3 linked regions of the Arabidopsis thaliana genome follow. The protein of the gene in region 1 interacts with the protein of each later gene in a pairwise test. Each region holds a gene or a part of one and is shown in the gene's direction. Other genes may lie near its edges.

Region 1 (3,756 bases):
TCCTTGGAACAAAAGAATGTAAGATAGACACTTATCAACTGAAAGAATAAACTAGACCAAGTATTAAAACAATAGTTGAACACTTACATAAGTTTAAAATTCTCAACATAGCCTAGAGAGGTGTAAACTCTCGTACGTTTGAACATTTCAACATCTTGTATTTGAACTCTTGTGAGACTCTTGCTCTCAAGGTTGAAGTAATAAATGTAAAATGCGTATATTAGACAGTACTGTGACAACACAACTTCACCTCCATCAGTCATTCCAACAATGGCTAACTCCGTATGCTGAACTAAGTTGTTCCACAAAGGAGGCAATGCATAGATACATTTGGTCCATATATTTTTCTCAGCATTTACTAGAACCCAGAACCTAAGACGTTTTGGAGACAAACATGTAAACTGAAGTGCACCTAGTTTACCCTTGTAGTTGATTAGAGTACAAGAGTCATTCATCAACATGAATACATGTATGTTGATAAAGCTAAACTTTTCAGACCTCACATCAAAGCACACTACCATAGAAACCCTTGCCCGCATATCGAACCCAGCTGTATAATACAAAATACCATCTATGCATATTCCATCAGATTTAGGATAATGGGGTTTGCATTGGATTGTTCTCCATAAATGGTTTCCATTCTCCAATGTCAAAACTTGATGCTCATCACACGTATTTGGGATATCATCAGACTTGATGCACAATACCTTTAGCTGTTTGCGGACCGGATCATATCCTAAATAAGGTCTTGTCTCAGTATTAATACTCTTCAGTTCCACTTTGGGTAAGGATACGGACTCTCCCGTGACTGGGTTACAAATTACCATAGTATCTAGATTTCTCTTACCTCGGCGACAGATGAATCCACAAAGAGGAGAACCAATTTCAGAAAAAGAATCTGTGGTATGTTGAACATGATAACGGGTGGGTACAAGAGACGTATTCTCGTTACATGGAATCTGAGGGTGAGGTGAAGAGAAGAAGAACAAATTGCCATCATCATCTTGGAAGGTGAAAAGAAGCAACGGTGGACGAATCGAAGACATAGTCATGAACAACTCCTTGAAATCAGGACGACAAAGTATGGATTCCCAGAGTTTGGATACGCAACGAAACCTAGCTATAGACTTTGCAGGAACTCTCGAAAAGATATCCATGAGGAGATCGATCGGGATATATCTAAAACAGGAAACATAACCCACCTGGAGAGGTTGCCCCTCTTGCATCATTTGCTTACTGAGAGGAGCTAAACCAGTATCAGACTCCTTGATACCTGCAAGTTACCCGTATATGCAATTTAATCATTCGGTAAATAGAAGTCACTAATGAAAGTAACACCACTATCTCAGTGTGCACAAACCACATAGATCGTTGATCTTCTCGGTGAGTTCCTTAATTTCTTTCTCCACTTTCTTGATAGGTGCAGAGTAAGGCACTAACCCCTGCGAAGGATTGAGATTTTAACAAGGTCAGCAAAAAAACATATGGAGACGCAACATATCAAACCAAGTATAACTATGAACGTTTTTTTTTCACTTGGATGACTTATTCAAACAGTGAGGCAGAGTCACCCAAAGCTAGTTAGTCATATAAGCACAAAAATGATCTAAATAGGATCATAAAATAGCAATTAGCTCGAAATTACTCATGAGAAAACATCAAACTGGTTCGCAAAGAAACAAAATACAGCAAAATTTAGGGTTCTAAAAGGGTACACTTACATAAGTCTTGACGAGAGCGATATCATCTTCGTCAAGCGGATCGTCTACAATATCTCTCACCATTTTTTTTTTTTTTTTCGGATTTTGATCGGAGATTTGAGATGTGAGAAGAAGAAATCGAATTACACCAACAAGAGTACCAACTTTGTCCGAGTTATTAAGGTCTAGTAAGTAAGGGCCACGTTAGGTGCCTTGTTGGAGAGGCCAGAGAAAATAATACCACGTGTGAATTGGGCTATGAAACGCGGCCCATTAGCCCAATATGCAGTGATCCGGGTCGGGTCATTAGAGCGAGCCGGGTCTCGTTATCCATCGCCTCCCTGGTTGCTGCGTCAAAGCCAGACACAAGTATCTTCGTTGAAATTTGCTTTTTGTGTGGCTTATCCTTGTCTGTCAAATTCCTGCAAAAACTCTCGCCTCTCTCAGACAGTAAGAGGAACATATTTCCTTAATGTATTGTTCCGTATAATCTTACAAGACATCCTGGTTGGTGTTGCAGAGAAGAGTGTTTCAAAGTTTCTTCCTTTTTCGTTTTCCTGGTCTGAATGAGCTCCCAATGCCTTCTTTAGGTACCTTTTCTGGTAAAGTTTCCAGATATTTACCTCTTAATTTTCTGGGTTTGTGTTTGGTTACTGTTTAGAATTCTACTTCAGTATTGAGACTCTCTTTCTTCTCAATTTTGTTTCTTTTCTATTGGATTTCATCATTCTTGAGTATCAATTATTTGCATTTGCAATCTTGGTCTAAATGCGTATAAGAAAAGACTAGTGATTCGCACAGTATCTAGAGAATGTTTACTAGCTAATGGAGATGACTCTTTGGTTTAATCTTTGCAGATATTGCTACTATCCAACCTTCATTTCAAGCTCATCTTGTTCCATTGGGGGCTCAGAGTATTATCCATGCTAAAAGTCTACCTAATCCATGGAGACAGTCTTGTTTCTCCAAGAATTTGAAATTTTACACGGGTCATAGTCATGTCCGAAGAGGAAAAGTTCTTATTACTGCAGTGGCCACTCTTGAAACCAAGTATCCGGCTCAAAAAGAAAACGAACGGAGCTCTTCTTTGTCTTCTGCTTCTTCGAAATCCTCAAATGGAAGTGCTGATGATGGCGAAGAACAAGTGGATGACAGAGAAAAGTTGAGAAGGATGAGGATTTCTAAGGCAAATAGAGGGAACACTCCTTGGAACAAAGGCAGGAAGCATAGTCCAGGTGAGTAGTTTTTGCTTATTCGTATCTTCAGCAATCTATCTTCAGTTGCTTCTAATTGGAAACATTTCATAATCTTTTTTCTTTTGCGTTTATGCAGAGACCCTACAGAAGATTAGAGAAAGGACAAAGATTGCAATGCAAGACCCAAAGGTGATGTCATGTAAGAATGGTTCTATATGTTTGCTCTATGCATCAGAATTTTCAACCCCTCATAGAACCTTTGTGTCTTTGTCCTTGTGCAGATCAAGATGAAATTAGCGAATCTTGGGCACGCACAAAAGTCAGTACCGGTTTTTCGTTTGCTTTTAAACCTGTTGGAGCTTTTGGTTTTTGTTATCATAATACTATCTTCCCAAATTTGCATGATTTTTACAGCAAGGAGACACGGATGAAGATTGGAGAGGGAGTGCGGATGCGATGGGCAAGGAGGAAGGAGAGGAGAAAAGTGCAGGAGACATGTCATTTCGAGTGGCAAAACTTGTTAGCGGAGGCTGCTAAACAAGGATATACAGACGAAGAAGAGCTTCAGTGGGATTCTTACAACATCTTGGATCAACAGAATCAACTGGAATGGCTGGAAAGTGTTGAGCAGAGGAAAGCCATTAAAGGAGCTAAAAGTAACAGAAGAGCGCCAAAATCTCCTGAACAAAGAAGGAGAATTGCAGAAGCAATAGCTGCTAAATGGGCTGATCCAGTAAGTTGTCTAGTCACTTGATCAAATCAAACTTGTTTGATGTTTTGTTCTTGGTCATATTTAACTCAGTTTGCTTTCTCTTATCAGTCTTACCGTGAAAGAGTTTGCTCCGGCTTGGCAAAATATC
Region 2 (3,756 bases), on another chromosome or scaffold:
GTGGCGATGTCGATGCCGGTGTATGCAATGTCTTGCTTCAAATTACCATTGAATATCGTTTCGGAGATTGAAGCTCTTTTAATGAATTTCTGGTGGGAAAAGAATGCAAAAAAAAGAGAAATACCATGGATAGCTTGGAAGAGATTACAATACTCGAAAAAGGAAGGTGGTTTAGGGTTTAGAGATTTGGCTAAATTCAATGACGCTTTACTTGCAAAACAAGTATGGCGGATGATTAACAACCCAAATTCTTTATTTGCCCGAATAATGAAAGCAAGATACTTTAGAGAAGACTCTATTCTGGACGCTAAAAGGCAGAGATATCAATCTTACGGATGGACTTCTATGCTTGCGGGTTTAGATGTAATTAAAAAAGGAAGCAGATTCATTGTCGGAGATGGCAAAACCGTTTGAATCAGTCAAGATAATTTTATTGCATCGCACCCTCCACGACCTCTCAACGTCGTCACTCCTACGTTGGATATCACGGTGGATACGTTAATCTCAACTCAGGGTTCGTATAGGTATTGGAACGCACATCTCATTTCTCAGCTTGTTAGTCCCGACGACCACCGTTTTGTTATGAACCATCATCTTTCCAGGATTGTGCATCAAGATAAGCTAGTTTGGAACTACTCTTCTTCTGGGGATTATACAGTTAAGTCCGGGTACTGGTTTCTCTTTAATGACCCAACGAATATTTAGGTTAGACCAGTGGTGCCTCATGGTTCAGTGGAAATTAAGAACAAGCTTTGGAAACTCCCTATTATTCCAAAAATCAAGTACATGCTTTGGCGTACAATCTCAAAAGCATTACCAACACGCTCGCGACTTCTCACTCGAGGAATGGACATCGATCCACACTGCCCCAGATGCCCAACTGAAGAAGAGACGATAAACCATGTTTTATTTACGTGTCCTTATGCTGCGTCAATTTGGGGTCTATCAAACTTCCCTTGGTTACCGGGTCATACTTTCTCTCAAGACACAGAGGAGAATATTTCTTTCCTTATCAATTCTTTTTCAAACAATACTCTGAATACAGAGCAAAGGTTGGCCCCATTTTGGCTCATATGGAGATTATGGAAAGCACGCAATAATCTTGTGTTTAATAAGTTCAGTGAAAGTTGCTCAAGGGTTGTGACACAAACTGAAGCAGAAGTCAATGAATGGTTACAAAGTGTGAACCGAAGAGAGGACGCTTCCGTTTTAACACGATCATCACACAGGGCAAACGTGCGGTGGAAGAAACCGGTCTTTCCTTTAGTAAAGTGCAACTTCGATGCGGGTTTCACGGGTAATAATACTCAGAGTACGGGAGGGTGGATCATACGTGATCATGCAGGATTAGCGAAGGCTTGGGGATCATCAATAGTCTAAAATGGTACCACTGCTTTGGAAGCTGAGACAAAAGCGTTATTAATCGCAATGCAACAAGCATGGGTACGAGGGTATAAGTGTGTTCAGTTCGAAGGTGATTGTGAGATCCTTATCAAGGCAATTAATGGTGCAATTTCTAGATGTGAAATAACCAGTCTTCTCCGAGATGTGGATTTTTGGGCATCAAGATTTTCTACTGTGGTTTTCACTTTCACAAATAGACTCTGTAATAATACTGCTCACCTCTTAGCTTCTCCACTTTATTCGTGTTACAAGTTTCAATCGAATTCTGGTTATCAGCCACTTTGGCTCAAAAACTCTCTTTGTAAAGATTTACTCATATAAATAAATTCTGTTTGTTGGAAAAAAAGAAAAAAAAAAAACCTACATTCTAAATACTGAAACCATAAACCATATGGTAAAAAGTGGATAAATGCTCAACTATCTCCATTTCAATATACACATCATAAAAAAGATTTATATTCAATTTATTGTAAAATGAAAACTTAGATTGCATTACTTTTTTTAACTCTCTTCTCTAATTTAATTTACTATCTAAATTTGTGAGTTCATAAAATTTTAGATTGAGAACAATTCATCAGAAATTCTGATTCAGAACAGTACAAATCTTGTCATGCAAACTTATCTATCTTGTAAAATCTATCTATCACTTGTCGTCACTAAGTACAAAATCTATTTTAGTTTGTTTTTTTTGTGTGTAAGAAAAGTTTTTTTATTTAATAATCTATCACCAATATTTTCCAACACAACATGACCGTTATCTCCTCCAATCTAAAACTTAATTACGAAACTACCCTTACCTCTTTCACTGACTGACTCGTCTCCTTCTCCACTTGGATCTCAAAAGTCCGATCCAAAACCAAATCCGCCATAACTCTCTCTCTCTCTCCCACTTCCCACAGAGAGACACATTCATGCCAGCAATGCCAGGTCTCGTCTCAGTCAAAACTCCTTCCGATACACCGCCGCTACGTGTAGCCGTACCAGACACGCAACCTCTCTCAAACCCGCCGCGAACTCCGATGAAGAAAACCCCTTCCTCTACACCATCTCGATCCAAACCATCACCAAATAGATCCACCGGCAAAAAAGATTCCCCAACCGTATCCTCCTCCACCGCAGCCGTAATCGACGTCGACGATCCATCTCTAGATAATCCAGATCTCGGTCCTTTCCTTCTAAAATTAGCTCGTGACGCTATTGCTTCTGGTGAAGGTCCTAACAAAGCATTAGATTACGCGATCCGAGCAACTAAGTCCTTTGAGAGATGTTGCGCCGCCGTTGCTCCGCCTATTCCCGGTGGTAGCGATGGTGGACCTGTTCTTGATCTCGCTATGAGCCTTCATGTTCTCGCTGCTATTTACTGTAGTCTCGGCCGATTTGATGAAGCTGTACCACCTCTTGAACGAGCTATTCAAGTCCCTGATCCGACTCGTGGCCCTGACCACTCTCTCGCTGCGTTTTCTGGTCATATGCAACTTGGTGATACGTTGTCTATGCTTGGTCAGATTGATAGATCTATTGCTTGTTATGAAGAAGGTCTTAAGATCCAGATCCAGACTTTGGGTGATACTGATCCACGAGTTGGTGAAACTTGCAGGTTCTCTTAACTAAGCATTTAATGGTTAATTAAACTCTTAGATTACGTTTGCTAAAAGTTACTATATAGGTTAGATCTAAGTTTCTGAAGTCTCTGATAATTTTCAGGTACTTAGCAGAAGCATATGTTCAAGCAATGCAGTTCAATAAAGCGGAAGAGTTATGCAAGAAGACTCTAGAGATTCACCGAGCGCATAGTGAACCTGCTTCACTGGAGGAAGCAGCTGATAGGAGATTGATGGCAATTATCTGCGAGGCTAAAGGAGATTATGAAAACGCTCTTGAGCATCTTGTTCTTGCTAGTATGGCTATGATTGCGAGTGGACAAGAATCTGAGGTTGCATCGATTGATGTTAGTATTGGGAATATTTACATGTCGCTGTGCCGGTTTGATGAAGCTGTGTTTTCATATCAGAAGGCTCTTACTGTGTTTAAGGCTTCTAAAGGAGAGACTCATCCGACGGTTGCGTCAGTGTTTGTTAGATTGGCTGAGCTTTACCATAGAACAGGGAAACTTCGTGAGTCTAAGTCTTACTGTGAGAATGCGTTGAGGATATACAATAAGCCGGTGCCTGGGACAACTGTGGAGGAGATTGCTGGTGGATTAACTGAGATTTCTGCTATTTATGAGTCTGTAGATGAACCTGAGGAAGCATTGAAGCTACTTCAGAAGTCTATGAAATTGCTTGAGGATAAGCCAGGACAGCAGAGCGCCATTGCAGGTAAATTTTTTGTCCATACCATGAATGTTCCTTT
Region 3 (3,756 bases), on another chromosome or scaffold:
AGACGACGATTTCCAAATTATTGTCGTTGCTGTTATTATAATTGTTAATAATAGTAAGAATTATTATTATTATTTAGGACACGCAAGATTCCACATGATACTGCTTAAGCACTACGTCGAGCTAAAATGAAATACTCGATTTAAATGAACTACCCCATTAGTTACTTGAAGATGAAACGAAACAATTTGGTTTTGGTCTTTTGGATCATATAGTTAAACGTTATGTATCTTACTCAGTTTATTTTAATGAAGTTTGTTGTTTGGTATATCAATTAGCCTTAGATGTCAAATCAAAACGAAACAAAAACATGAAAATTCAATTTGGCGTTAAATCAAAATAATAATTAATATTCCATGGATAATTAATATACACTTAGCAAATTACCGAAGTACCCTTGCTATCTCGTTGTCGTCAATAATCAAAATTACAGTATTAACCCAATTAAGAGCGTTTAGCGTCTACGTGTAAAGCGGTATCAGGAGAAAGGAGCAGCGATCACATGGGTGGCTTAAATCTATATCCTCCGGTTCCTCACCGGCCAATTATTCTCGCGCGTGTCTCCGCTCCTCTCTGATGCGCGTCACTCAAAAAGTTTGAGTCAAACTCCAGTAATATTTTTGATTTATTTTGTATTTTCAAGAATTTCTTAAAAATTGCTGTTACGTAATTTACAATGCAATGTCTCGCGGTAAAGGTAGAGCCGGAACTCAAGTCAGATCAATCTCCGTGTATGATTGTGTTCGCATCCAATGTTAATAATTTCAGGATTTGTATTTTCCAAGTTAAAGGATACTATTGTTAACTAACGTATATGCTGACAAAAAAAATAAAAAAATAACGAATATTATAAATTTATATCAGTCGCATAATGAAATGTGTAATTTCACCCAGACAAAAATATCTCTACAGAACAAAAAAAAAACGTTTGTTATATATGTTTATTCTGTATATTTAAAATGTAGTCTAACGTTTGTTCTATATGTCTACAATGTGTATTTATATTTAAAACATATTCCATCCTTAATTTGCTTTATATTATTGTTACACCATTCATAGTAATGGAAGAAATATCTATTGGCATTCTATACTTTATGATATATATATATATATGAACCAAAGTATTGTATGTCCAACTGGGACATTTTATATGACGGCGGACGAATAAAGCTTAGCAGATATATATGTACGTGCTGGTAACTCCATATTCATTATTTTGGATTTAAGTTGTAACTCCATACACAATACACATTGATGGATTAGCATTGCATTTTTTTTATGGCATTTTATATCAAAAGATTCTCAATCAAAACTTAGATAGATTCCTAAAGCTTGTAATTAAAGCATCAAACATATTTGTTAACCAGTTATTATTTTTGAAATCGAGTAGTGTTTTGTTGATGCTACATATTATTCCATCATAAAAAGAAAATTAATGTGTGTGTAAGTGTGTTTGAAATAAGTCAATATCTTAGTACAGTAATTAACTAATTATACGAAGAAGAACTATAAGGGTAAAAACGGTAATTACAGTATTTGGTCAGCCATAGTTATTCCCGCTCGTCTCTTGAAAAAAATTCAAACCGGTAAACCATTTTGGTCATACACGTTACAGTAACACGGTGGTCTGGTCTTCAATAATAACCACGTCAGCAGCATACAGTAAAAACTACTTTAAATGTTTTTTTTTATTCTCACCCAAGAAAATAATTTATTTTTGTTTTGTCGTTCTCCTTCCTAAATAATTTTTCAACTACCACAATTAATTTAAAAATTAAAAATAGAGTATATTTGGAAAGGCACAAAAAAAAGAAACAAAATTCAAAATCTGAAATTTCTCAGCCTCCTCGTTTCTTCACCCAGAGGAGAGAGAAATCTGAGGAATTCGATCTTCGCTTAAAGAAGACGAAACAATCTCTCTCTCTTTCTCTCTTCAATGGTCTCACCATCTCTGTCTACCATCTCCTAGCCAAAGAAGAAGACGAGAAGAAGAAGAGAGGGTCACAACAATGCTTTATTCTTCTTATGTCTCCAGCCATGTGAGCTCCCACTGACACATTCTCTGCATCTTCGGAAGTTTTGTTTTGGTTTGATTCTTCTCACCGATTCCTGCGACCGAGTTTGACCCTCGAGTTTCGAGGTTAGTGGATGGCTTCATCCTCATCGAGAACTAGAAGCAGTAGACCTCCAAGTCCCGCTTCTTCCACTTCTTCTTCTCATCTCAGCAACCGTCTCATTCCTCGTTCTAACTCTACCTCTGCTTCCTCATTGATTACCTCCGCCGCCGGAATCGCCTCCCGATCTATGACGCCTAGTCGCACCTTCTCCGACTCGGGCCTTATCGGCTCCGGCAGCTTTGGAATTGGATCGCCTGTTCCCTACCCGTCAGAGGAGCTTCTCGGTGACCCTATGGACGATACTATTAGCTCTGAGCGGGATAGTATCTCCGTCACCGTTCGTTTTCGTCCGTTGAGGTATGCTAGATCTGATCTCGCCATGGACCAGATCTATTGCAGAGATTACAGTTTTCATGTAGATGCAATTGGAGTCAATTCTTTATTGGGGTTTGCAAATTCAAGTTTTTATCTTTGTGGGTTTGCAGTGATAGAGAGTATCAAAGAGGAGATGAAGTTGCTTGGTACCCTGATGGTGATACATTGGTTAGGCACGAGTATAACCCACTCACAGCTTACGCATTTGGTATTTGGTTCACCTCTCAATTATTCTGAATGTTTTCTTGTAATCATTGAGTGAATGTTTTCCAAATTTGTTTTGATGCCAGATAAAGTTTTTGGACCACAGGCAACTACTATTGACGTTTATGATGTAGCTGCGAGACCAGTAGTCAAGGCAGCAATGGAAGGTGTTAACGGTAAGTAACATTGCTGCAAAATTCAGCTTTACCAAAATCTGTATCTTTTATATAGAAATATCCTCTAAACCAATTGGTCCGCAAGTAGTATTGCTTGCAACATATTTTCTGACTCAGGGTTGGAATTTTGACAGGAACCGTTTTTGCTTACGGTGTTACTAGCAGTGGAAAGACACATACAATGCATGTAAGGGTTTTAAAAAAGAAGAATCCTTATACGCCTTTCTCTCTAGTTTTTCTTCAAAACACATGTGCTATGAATTGGGATCTCTTCTTCAACTTGGTCCCCCTTTGGTATCTGCTGGTTATTCTGGGTTACTCTAAACATTTACATGGTAGCAAAAGATACCATACAAATACCAACTTGCCATCATTAATTGGTGATGGTTATGTGAGTTGGAAATCCTCGTATGAATGGAATTTGAAGGTCTTCATTTAGATTGGCTGTGCTTATCTTTAGTGAAGTAGCTACGTTGGGTCTTTAGTTCCCGTCCAAACAAGTAGAACCTAAATCTGATGTTCTTTTTGTTCTGCCATTGGTTGCTTTTGCAATATGCATAGGGTGATCAAGAATCTCCTGGGATCATACCGCTAGCAATAAAAGACGTGTTCAGTATCATCCAGGATGTAAGTGGTCTTAACGGGGTTCATGTCTTTTCTCATCTCATCACGACTTTTTTATATGATTTCATGCTCGCTAACTGGCTACATTTTTATATTTCAGACTCCAGGAAGGGAGTTCCTGCTCCGTGTTTCATATCTTGAAATATACAATGAGGTAAGTGGAACTTTTTATCCTTGATATATTTACTTGGTAATCCCTGAAAAGTAGATATTTTTAGATTGGGATATGTTTTCTAGTTCTTCTGCCTTATCTTTGAGAACT

The links.
Region 2: the proteins of AT1G53800 (region 1) and KLCR1 interact in a two-hybrid assay, tested with the Arabidopsis thaliana proteins (one large-scale study listed by BioGRID).
Region 3: the proteins of AT1G53800 (region 1) and AT4G39050 interact in a two-hybrid assay, tested with the Arabidopsis thaliana proteins (one large-scale study listed by BioGRID).

The regions. Positions count from the first base shown.
Region 1 is NC_003070.9:20,079,611-20,083,366, forward strand, and holds the start of AT1G53800 (muscle M-line assembly protein), read left to right. Parts: upstream 1-2,033; 5' UTR 2,034-2,277; coding exon 2,278-2,302; intron 2,303-2,557; coding exon 2,558-2,935; intron 2,936-3,032; coding exon 3,033-3,085; exon of another isoform or gene 3,086-3,095; intron 3,096-3,177; coding exon 3,178-3,215; intron 3,216-3,310; coding exon 3,311-3,629; exon of another isoform or gene 3,630-3,645; intron 3,646-3,716; coding exon 3,717-3,756. Other genes in the region: AT1G53790 (F-box and associated interaction domains-containing protein), read right to left, coding at 1-2, 88-1,273, 1,361-1,442, 1,722-1,784.
Region 2 is NC_003075.7:6,654,299-6,658,054, forward strand, and holds the start of KLCR1 (Tetratricopeptide repeat (TPR)-like superfamily protein), read left to right. Parts: upstream 1-2,075; 5' UTR 2,076-2,315; coding exon 2,316-3,001; intron 3,002-3,108; coding exon 3,109-3,722; intron 3,723-3,756.
Region 3 is NC_003075.7:18,191,316-18,195,071, forward strand, and holds the start of AT4G39050 (Kinesin motor family protein), read left to right. Parts: upstream 1-1,759; 5' UTR 1,760-2,146; coding exon 2,147-2,472; intron 2,473-2,600; coding exon 2,601-2,698; intron 2,699-2,780; coding exon 2,781-2,870; intron 2,871-3,004; coding exon 3,005-3,057; intron 3,058-3,431; coding exon 3,432-3,497; intron 3,498-3,594; coding exon 3,595-3,648; intron 3,649-3,756.